Linked DNA regions of Saccharomyces cerevisiae S288C. The protein of the gene in region 2 interacts with the protein of the main gene of each other region in a biochemical or structural test. Each region holds a gene or a part of one and is shown on either strand. Other genes may lie near its edges.

Evidence for each region. The genes of interacting proteins can lie anywhere in the genome.
Region 1: the proteins of RPL22A (region 2) and REI1 are reported together in a solved structure, tested with the Saccharomyces cerevisiae proteins (2 studies listed by BioGRID).

The regions. Positions count from the first base shown.
Region 1 is NC_001134.8:738,271-743,497, reverse strand, and holds REI1 (Rei1p), read right to left. Parts: upstream 3,658-5,227; coding exon 2,476-3,657; downstream 1-2,475. Other genes in the region: BIT2 (Bit2p), read left to right, coding at 1-737; SDH8 (Sdh8p), read left to right, coding at 922-1,338; mitochondrial 54S ribosomal protein mL54 MRPL37, read right to left, coding at 1,882-2,199; SLM6 (Slm6p), read left to right, coding at 3,110-3,562; TSC10 (3-dehydrosphinganine reductase), read right to left, coding at 3,954-4,916; Rab family GTPase YPT10, read left to right, coding at 5,129-5,227. UniProt on the Saccharomyces cerevisiae protein: Pre-60S-associated factor involved in the cytoplasmic maturation of the 60S subunit. Involved in the dissociation and recycling of other late pre-60S factors like ARX1, TIF6 and ALB1 before newly synthesized large ribosomal subunits enter translation.
Region 2 is NC_001144.5:259,976-265,155, reverse strand, and holds RPL22A (60S ribosomal protein eL22 RPL22A), read right to left. Parts: upstream 1,963-5,180; coding exon 1,951-1,962; intron 1,562-1,950; coding exon 1,208-1,561; downstream 1-1,207. Other genes in the region: BMT6 (25S rRNA (uracil2843-N3)-methyltransferase), read right to left, coding at 1-999; FRS1 (phenylalanine--tRNA ligase subunit beta), read right to left, coding at 2,390-4,177; REX2 (Rex2p), read left to right, coding at 4,609-5,180.

The DNA of each region.
Region 1 (5,227 bases), on a different chromosome or scaffold from region 2:
ATTTACTGAAAAACTTGCCATCCTTGATAGCAAACTATAAAAGCTTCACCGTACAGGAGTTATTTGTTCTGGAGGGGAATATCTGGGGTATATACTGCAGCATAGTTGTGGAGCTATTTAAAAACAAGAGGGTATGGCAATTGCCAGCAAAAATAGAAGATATTGACCGGCTGCTGGAATTTTATATCACTTTGAAAACACAAACCAAGGCTGCCGTAACGCACTCAAGGTTTTTGGCCGAAATCGAGGAATTCATTACCACTTCACTTTACATTTTAGAGAACCAGATTGTGTTCAATTATGCCAATGAGGATACCGTAAATACGGCTTTGAAAAGAGTCGGCATAATCTGGAAGGTGTTTTACCAACAGGTTTACTACGACATGATGGCAGTGTTACTGCCCTTCGAGAAAAGCTTCCAAAAAAATAGTAACTACTGGCTTGACGGATATCTATCTGAACCTTCAAGGTACGCACCGTCAATTGATGTCCTTTTATTAAAGTGTTTTAGAGACTCCATCATTCTTCCGTATTACGAAAGCTTCCTACATACAAATGACGGTGCCAGTAAGAGTTTTCAAAGATATATTTTCAGCGAGGAAGAACAGAACGGCGTCACAGAGGAAGATAAACTGACGCTGCTGCAGTGTTTTGGGATCCTGAATACCATAAAAGGTAACAGCAGAAACCAAAGAATTATTGGTGAACTTCTTGAGGGCATACGCATGAGTATATAATTAAATATTTTATTTAGTAATATACAATAGTGGCATATAGATAGGTGTATTTCCTTTTTCTTGTTCCAAGAATCCGGAAAAACAGATGCTCTTTTCCGCCCTATAAAGGGGCCAATGGGGAAAGTGCAGATCATATTAACTTGCTAAAGAGTCAGAAAGAACCAAATAATAAAAAGAAGAACTAATGTTGTGCGCCATCAAAAGCACAGGTTATCGGTATCCTCGCACGGGAGCCTTAAATCTACTACGTGGACGACCATTTAATATGGCCACCCGAAAAATAACTACTGAAAGGATCCCCGGCCCTCCCAAGCTGCCAAGAGAAGAGCAGGAAGAGTTCGAAAGACTTCAGAGGATTGCCACATCGCAAGAGGCAATAGATCAGTATAATGCGCAGGCCACCGGCGATCGTACAAAGGAGAGTTTGAATTCACCGCTTTTAACCAAAAACGATATTGGGTCATTCTCGCCTGAATTTTCCAAGACCATACCTGAATTCGAAGGTGATGTTAACCCCAAGACTGGTGAAGTTGGGGGTCCCAAGCAGGACCCGTTGAGACACGGCGATTATTCGTTTAACGGAAGAGTAACGGATTTCTAGATATTTGGTCCGGCCAATTTTTAATAATACTATTCTTATTTGATGAAACTGCGTAACGTTCAATTTACTTTTCAATATGTATGTTGTTATGCTTTATTTTGAATATATAATATATATATGTGTGTGTTATGAAATGCATACGTTTCATGTTTGCCTAAAATCTCTTTCTTGTGAGCGTCCTTCGAATTCTTTTCGAGTATGAATTGAACCTATTTCGCATGTTTTTCGTGGAGACAGTCTTTCTAGTGCTTTTTAACCTTACCTTTGGCATGTTTTTGATCTTTACACTGGGCACATTCATACTTATCTTAGCCATGATTGACAATTCAACTATCTTGTTTCTTGCGAATTTGTGGTACTCTAAAGGATTTAATTTTTAACGTTTTGTTTGTCCCACTTGGTATTCCCCAGGCGAAAAGATATGTGGGAACTATCATGTTTTTGTTGGTACAAAATAAGGCATTATGCTAAAAACATACTATTTAACCACGTACACACATATTTATTTACAAGGATACCAAACTTGATCTTATTAACGGAGGCTTAAAGTTGGCTCAAGAAATTGTTTTGCTTGATTCGCTGCCTGTTCGCCTTCCTTATGTTCTTTCTTCTCTTTAAGAGAGCCTGTCCCTCTGGGTCCTCAGCCGCATGTTCGACAACGTGATCACTATCCAATACGCTCCATAACCAATTTGGATACTCCTTGTCCTCGAGTGCCACTGCGTCTTTACCGCTCTTCCATATGTTTAAGTTAAGCGATGTTCCCGCAGGACACGACGACACCACTGACTTAACCGTGGGTTTATTATATAAGATACGACTGGTCGATATCAACCTGTAACCCAAACTGCGCGCCAACATCTTCAGTCTTCAGCAGCTATTTCCTTTGCTGTAGATATAACTGCTTTAAGAAGCCTATTAGTTTTTTCACTTTCGAGATTTTTGCGCCAAACAAGGGCGCACAAATACCCGGCATCACGCATTTATTATATGAAGAGAATATTAGAACAGGCATTTCAAAGCATGATTCAATGACTATAACATTGCTATAGAGGGGGTAGTGAAGAATTATCTAATGTACAAATGGTGAAGCAGTATATATGCGACAAAATACTAAAAAAAGTAGTGCAAAAAGAATTACTGCAGAAGTTGGTCTCTGTAGTGTGGTTGGTTATTGACGAACTTGGCACTTCTCTTATCGAGCCTTTTCTTGTCGAACCTCTCAGTTTGCCAAACACGCTGTTGAGTCTGCACGCCCTTTTTGTCGAAGGCAGGTAAGAACGATCTCGTCTCTGCAGCGACCAGGGTACCTTGGCCTTCGGTCAGTATCACCTCGGGCTTTAAGTCTTGCTTGTAGTATCTTTGCAAGGACCTGTGGCCAACTTTGATGCCTGTCGGTAGATGCAGCTCTATACCATCGTTATATAAGTACTCTTGTGGCAGATCTTCGTCGTCGCTTCCGGCTTCGTCGCTGCCCACGTCTTCCCAGTCATCTTCGTTGTCTGGTGTTGTGTTGCTATTAAAGTTTGCGTATGAGCTTGTAAAATCGTAGAATTCAGATATCTCCAACCTTTCATCCTCGCTTTCGTAGGGAATTTTACAGTGTCTCTTTGCCAACATGTGCTGTCTTACAGCGGTCAACGTTCTCCCCTGGTAATTACAAACAATACAAATGTTCCCAAGACCAATCTTCTCCGACATGTATTTTACCAAGCCGATCTTGTCGACTAGATATTTCTGTTCTGGGATATAAAACCCGTGGGTCCTAAACATGTGTTCCAGGTTTTCTTCAACATCTTTGAAGTGCTTATTGTGCTCACAAAATAGACATTGTTCCAGTGGAATATCGACTCTGTTGCGTAGCTTTTCTTGCATTACTCTTTCCGCCATTTCTTCCTCGGTCAACTGTTCAGGCTCCTCCTTCTTAGGTTCTTCCTTTTCCTTGTTCTCCTCATTTTCTTGCAAAGAGAGCTTGCTTAGGTCGGGAGTATTTCCCTCTTGGCTCTTTTGCATGTTTTCAAGCATATTAGCCCTGGCAATTTCCAACAGTTTCTTTTTCTTTTCGAGCAATGCTTGCTTTTCCCTTCTTTTCAACTCCTTTTTGGTAACAGGTTTCTCCTTTTCAGCAGACTTACTAGTACTGGCAGCAGCTGCAGACACTTTGGAGTCAAATGTCTCAAATGATATTGGTGGCAATTGTGCAACACGTCTTTTCAAATTGTAGCGATGCCAATCGGACTTCATGTGGGCCCGCTGCTCGTCGCTTGAATCAAAGGTCAGGACACATGAATTACACGTATAAACACCACTGCTACTCATCGTATTGTTACTGATATGCTCTCTTCTTGACTTCTAATGAGAAGCATCTCATAACCTGTACTAAAAGTGGAAAGAGGAAAATTTTTTTCACCTCATCGCATCGGTACCCATAAGAAAAACTTTCAAAATATAGTAAGAAAAGAGAATAAAAATAGGAAAATATCGCCGTGGTAATAATGTTATAATTAATATTTCGTATATACTTATACATGTACAAATAGCTACACCACTAGGGTTTGTCTTGAAAGAAATAAAGAGAGTCACGGGGAATATCGGGAATGAGAGTGGATGTGCTCTCAGTTGGCCTTCTTGCCGTCATTTTCACGAAACCATTTCCTGATATACCAGGAACAGCCAACCATGTAGAATGGCACGACCAGAATGTTTGATAGGACACCAAAAATCCATTGCAACGGAACAAAGCGGCTTTTCTTTGCGGTGAGCCCAAGGTCCATCCCCATTATCATCCATCCGACAAAATCTGTAAAAACGTCATCATCACCTCTGGCCAGCGACTTGGCAATGATATCACATGCTTGTTTGCATGGGATAGCGTCTGAGGGGCCTTCGATCAACTTTGTAATTTCGGGTTTCGTTAGCTGCTCTACAGTGAAACCTTCGCTTTCAAAATTACCAGGATAAACACAACTGATACGGAAGTTCGTCAGTTCTTGTCTTAAGATTGCTACCAGTGATTTGATTGCAGCTTTTGCAGGCGCATACTGGGAATAGCCCACAAATGGGTAAAGCGCGGTGGCACTAGAAAAGATGATGAGGTGGTGTTCCTTGGTTTGCTCTGCAAGGGCAATCTGATGTGCCACGTTCAAAGTTGTTTTATAGTTGATGTCCATACCCAAGTTCAACTCATGTCCGCTTAGCCCACGAAATAACTTAGGAACAGCCCCCCCTGCACAGCATAACGTTTGTGTAGGGAGTAAATCCAAGTCTCTCAGGGCATTGAACAAACATTCCACGGATTCGTAGCAGGACAAGTCGCATGGGTAGTAAAATAACCGTTGCTCAAGGTCCAAGGGCGCAGCCAACTTATGTTGCACTTGGCCCTCGTCAGTGGTTTCCCTTCTCAGGTGAGCTTCAATCCTAATTTCGTTGCATGTGTCCAGCAGTCTAGCCTCTGACCTACTGACGATAATAATCTTTGTGTTTTCAGCCTCATTATAATATTTTTTGGCGAATTCCTTTCCAAGACCTTGTGAACCACCAGTGATCAACACAACTTGGTCTTCTAACGTAAACTTCATTACCTACAAAAGATTATACCGATAACTTCTTTTCTTGAGGCAATCTTATTTAATCGCTTCCAGTAAATGCAGAGAAACTCCTCTGCATTTTTCATTTTTTTGTTTTTTTTTTGTCGTTTATTGTTTTTTAGCCTTACGTTTCACGTTAAGGAACAATGATAGTAAAATTACTCCAGGAAATACAAGTAGCACAAAATACGGAGGAATACGATATGGAAGCAACCATCAAAGTGGTACTGCTAGGAGATTCATCAGTGGGGAAAACCAGTATAGTGACTAGGCTCAAATCAGGTAAGTTTCTAGCAAAACAT
Region 2 (5,180 bases):
GGATACTAGTGACCATGGACCTGTCGTTCCCTTGTCCTTTCTATTGCCTACTAAGATAGTATCGATAAGAAATTGGATTGGGAACTTCTTGTTGTTGATGGTAATGTGAGAATAGCTTCCTGCACTCTCTAGTATGAGAAGATGGCAGCCTGGGGCACAGTTCTCGTTTAACCGTTGCAGAAATTTTATACTCTCCACTTTTTTCTGTGTAAATAGTTCATTTGTAGTAAAAAGTAGAGTTATTAGGTCGAGGCCTTGATATATCTTGATATCTTGTGGCTCTGTCATTTGTAGGCAGTCCTTGTGGGTAAAGTTGACGTTAAATGACTCTGCTTCTGAATCACCATATAGCCATTTCGACTTTATTGTAGCTGTTAGCTTTTCAACAACTGTGGACCAGTCGGCGATATCTACTAGTTGTATGTTTAAATTTCTAGGCTTTTTGTTTACTTCGTTGTCTATTTTCAAAGCAGAGGCAAATTTAGACGAAAAATCTCTCGATAAAGTGAATATGCTCGCTAATGCAACCAGCTCACCACCAGCGCCGCCACCTATGCAGAGCACATTTGAGTCCTTGTCATCAATTTCGCATCTGATAATCTTTAGAAGCTCAGGGAAATGTGCAAATACTGATGCGTAACTTGTTGCTCTGGACGGTGACCAACGACAACAATATGCTATTCTTTTCGAGTCGTTATTGAAAGCAGCATTGTAATCTCTGTTATAAAGGTCAGATTTTACCGCCTGTATTTGTTCAGTTAACGGTGACTTTTCATTGTCTTGATCTTTTGGATATAGCTCTTCTAAGAATGTTATTTTAAAAAGATCGATTATTTCCTGTGGTGGAAGCGTTGATTTATTGTGAACGGGCAATTGGGCCACTTTTTTAGGATTCATGTTAATTGGAAACTGAGAAGAGTAATGATATTGTGAATAAATTGGTATATATTTAAAATATACTGAAGAAGTTAAAAAGGCAAAGCGTCTCATAAGCAACATCAAAAACGTGCAAAAAGAGACCCTGCGATGAGATGTACTCTAATTCAGAAAGAGAAAAAAAAAAAAAAAAAAAAAAAAAATAAAAATGCACTAAGGGCCCAATGGATTTCTTTTTTTGATATTGAATCATTCATTAAACATATTTATTAGGTTTAGAAGATTTTAATTATACAAAACTTATGCTCTATTTAAAATAATATTAATGAATTTATTCTTCGTCTTCTTCTTCGTCTTCTTCTGGAGTGACTTGGTAGAAGGCCAATCTGTATTCGTTGGTCTTGGTAGAGACAAATCTGATCCAGTCTCTCAATTGGTTCTTCTTCAAGTACTTCTTTGTCAAGTACTTCAAGTACTTACCAGAGAACTTGGCAGTGGAAACAACAGTAACAACGGTACCATCTTCAGTGACAGTGACAGCGTTACCCAAGTTACCGACAGCACCTTCGACCTTGATGTGGTCGATCAAGTACTTAGCGTAGGAAGCTGGGTCGAAGACACCGTTTTCAGTTGGAGAAGAGACATCGACGGTAAAGGTCTTGGCAATCTTTTGCTTTCTGGAAGTCTATATCAAAAAAATTAAAGATTGAAAATTAGTAAAAATTTTCAGAACAGTAATGTTAGTAAAAAACGAATATTTCACGATTTTCTTTCAATCCCGAAACCACAAAGTTGCCTACTGCTATTAACAATCACATATGACAATCTCAAACAAAAAAACATTCAGAAACGGATAAAAAGAAGGGAGTCGATATAGAGTTCAATGTTCAAGTAGTGAATTTTTAAAATACAGAAAAGCAACTAAACACATAGACGCTTCTTCGTTTCGTACATTTTTATTTTTTTTTTTTTGGTTTTACTATCTTCCTTGTTATTCGCGTACAATCAATCATTACAATAACAGTAAAACATAGACTTCGTAATCGGGCGTGGATTCCTTTTAAAGTATCATACGTTTGGGGCCATTGTTTCTTAATCTGTTGTTTTGGTGGTTTATAATTTGATAACGGTAAAGTACAGGTAAAGTTGTTAATCTCAATTAATAATGTACATATTGTATGCAGCTAAATGATAGTTTGAAACATTTTAGGAAATTCTCGGTAAGATTTGTTCGCGTGGCCTGTTGAGGATTTTTTCAAAAGAGAAGCGCACTGAGGTGGAAAGGAAAAACAAATTAACATAAATGTATGGATGTATTATTAAATGTACTGATGTTTATCAAAAAAACTGTCTTTGAAAGTTAAGTACAAGCTAAACATTTACTCAGTAGCGGTAGTAATATTATATAAAACATGGTAAACTTTAGTTGTGTTTCTATATATAGATATATATATGTGTCTATCTATCTATATAAGTTTTATAAATCAGTAAAAATTTTTGTTAGAACATTACATTATAGGAAGACTTCGGCATTAACCTCTACAAAGGATGCAGCGAATGGAACGTCGAAATTCATCATGACTTCAGGATGCAAGACACCCAAGTGGCCGATTTGCTTTGGCTCAGCGCCTTCTTTGGATCTGAACATGACCTTGGCACCTCTACCTGGGAAGTAGGTTTTCACAGAATCGTCTTCTTCAATCCAGTAACCTCTGCCAGAAGCAGCAGCACCGTAGTCTGCAATCCACTCTGTTCTAAAAGTTTGCATGATTTTACCCAATAACCCTTGAATGATTTCAAACCCAGAATTCTTACCCACGTAGATGGCAGCCCAGTGACGTTCATTGTACGCCTTCCTTTCTAGTTTGTCGTCTTTAAATACAACGTCACCGGTTTCAAAGACTTTGATTGGCAAGGAATGTTTTCTGTTTTCCTTGACTGTCTTTAAGATACCAGGCAATAAAGTGGTTCTAACAACTTGGTATTCCAAAGTCTTTGGGTTGGCCAATTTGACAGCTAAATCACCATTGTCGGATTGTCTTAGAAATTTAAAGTTTTCATCGTGCGAACATAAGGTCAATGGTAAAACCTCAACCCACGTGGCTTGAGAGGATGCAACTCTGAAAATATCAGAAACCTTGTTGATTGGTAATGGTTTGGCAATGAAGTTGGCATTGGATAATTTCTCACCCTTTGGCAAATTATTGAAACCATAACCGACAGCGGCATCTTCCATTATATCACAAGCGTGCAAAATATCAGGTCTAGTTACCGGAATGTCAACGTGCAAGATGTCCTTGTCTTCCTTTGATTGAACGGCATGCAACGACATCTTCTTTAGACAATGAGCAATTTCATCAGCGGATTGATCTAGGCCAAGACAGGAGTTGATGTACTTAATGGAGACATCCATAATTCTATCGTTGAAGTTTGGCGCCAAACGGGATTGGCCATTGTGTTCAGAGACAATTTCTACAGGCTCAACCGTGAATGGTTCGTCACAATAACGTGAGAACATTGTAGTTAATATGTTCAAAACGATCTCGGCTTTGGTCTTATCGGTGGCGGTTATATCAATCAAAATGTTACGGGTGTTCACAGAGATCTTCGAATGTTCACTATTGATTAATGGTGGCAGGGAGCAAACACGATCTTTGCTGTCCATAATAACTGGGAAGACTGGAGAATCCTCAATAATGTGAACGTATCTCCCTATGTTGTTTTTCTGTTCTGGAGATTTATAAAACTCGATCAATTTGTCACCAGTAAACTCTTGGGTTTGATTCAATGGTACGAACTTGATGTCCTTTGGTGGTAGAGCTCTGTAATGGAATGGACCTTCAATTGAATCTAAATCGTGAGTACCCATGGCAACCAAGCTTCTGTTTCTACATAGATTGGCATGTAATTTATCTTGCAAGGCAATAAAAGAAGCGTAAGATTTTTCGTTAAGCTTGATATTTCTCAATACAGCAGCGGTAGCAAAAGGTCTAATTTGCTCCGTTGATTTGTCGATGATCAACTTAGTGGTTGGCTTGCTTAATTTATAGTCAGGTCTTTCTTTACGTTCCAAGTATTCGTTCAGCGACTGTGAAATACCTTCGATACAAAGCAAATCGTAACGATTGGCACTGATATCAAGCTTCAATTCCGGCTCCTCCCCGGTTTTCAAGGCCTCCTCTGTGGTGTCTTCGTCCATTTCCATACCGAATTCAAAACATAATTCATCGAACTCTTGGGAAGTGTAGTTTTTGCCTAGAAGATCAAATAATTGCTGCTTGTTCACGGAGACGGTAGGCATGCTGGCTCGGTGTTATTGATGTGTGTTATGCTATTCTGCCCTATTTTTTGAACATTTGATCAACTCCAGGCTTTCGAGAAATACATTGAAAATTTTTCATTTCCTTCAATTTTCTTTCTTTTTTGGTACCGATTCTGAATAATCGGTCACCTCGTGTGTCGTGATAAATAATCAAGAAGATGTACTTTTATACAAGGGTTGTAGTCATCTGGGACACTCTCAGAGCACTGGCTCTGACGACAACCATCAAACGCATGCTCATACGTATAATTCAAGCCTTACATACACTGGTATTCCCTTTGGGGTGTTTCTTTTTCCTGTCAAGTTGGGCACTTAAAAGAACTAATAAAAAATCAGTGTGAACTTTTCGATTTGCAAAGAAAATGAAAAAAAAGAAAAGGAGCTTTCACAAATAAACAGAAGAGATCAAGATGAAGTGGTTGTTGTTTCCGGCAAGAATCGTAGCTCGCACTCGCCCAAACCTCTTCTCGCTGTACAGAAGATCCGTTTCACAGTACTTACGTCCTCGAACCATCCAAAACCTGCAATCAATGGCGCAAACACCCGAACTTAAAACCAAGCTGTTCAAACCCTTGGTCTGGATCGACTGCGAGATGACCGGTTTAGACCACGTGAATGACAGAATTATCGAGATTTGCTGCATCATCACCGATGGACACCTGGCACCCGTCAAAGCGGCCGATGGCCAAGGAGACTCGCATTATGAGAGCGTCATCCATTATGGTCCCGAGGTGATGAACAAAATGAACGAGTGGTGTATTGAGCACCACGGTAATAGCGGTCTCACCGCCAAAGTTTTGGCAAGTGAGAAGACTTTGGCCCAGGTAGAAGATGAGCTGCTCGAGTACATCCAGCGCTACATCCCAGACAAGAACGTTGGCGTCTTGGCAGGCAATAGTGTACATATGGACCGCTTGTTCATGGTCCGCGAGTTTCCCAAGGTCATTGATCATCTCTTTTACAGAATAGTTGACGTCAGTAG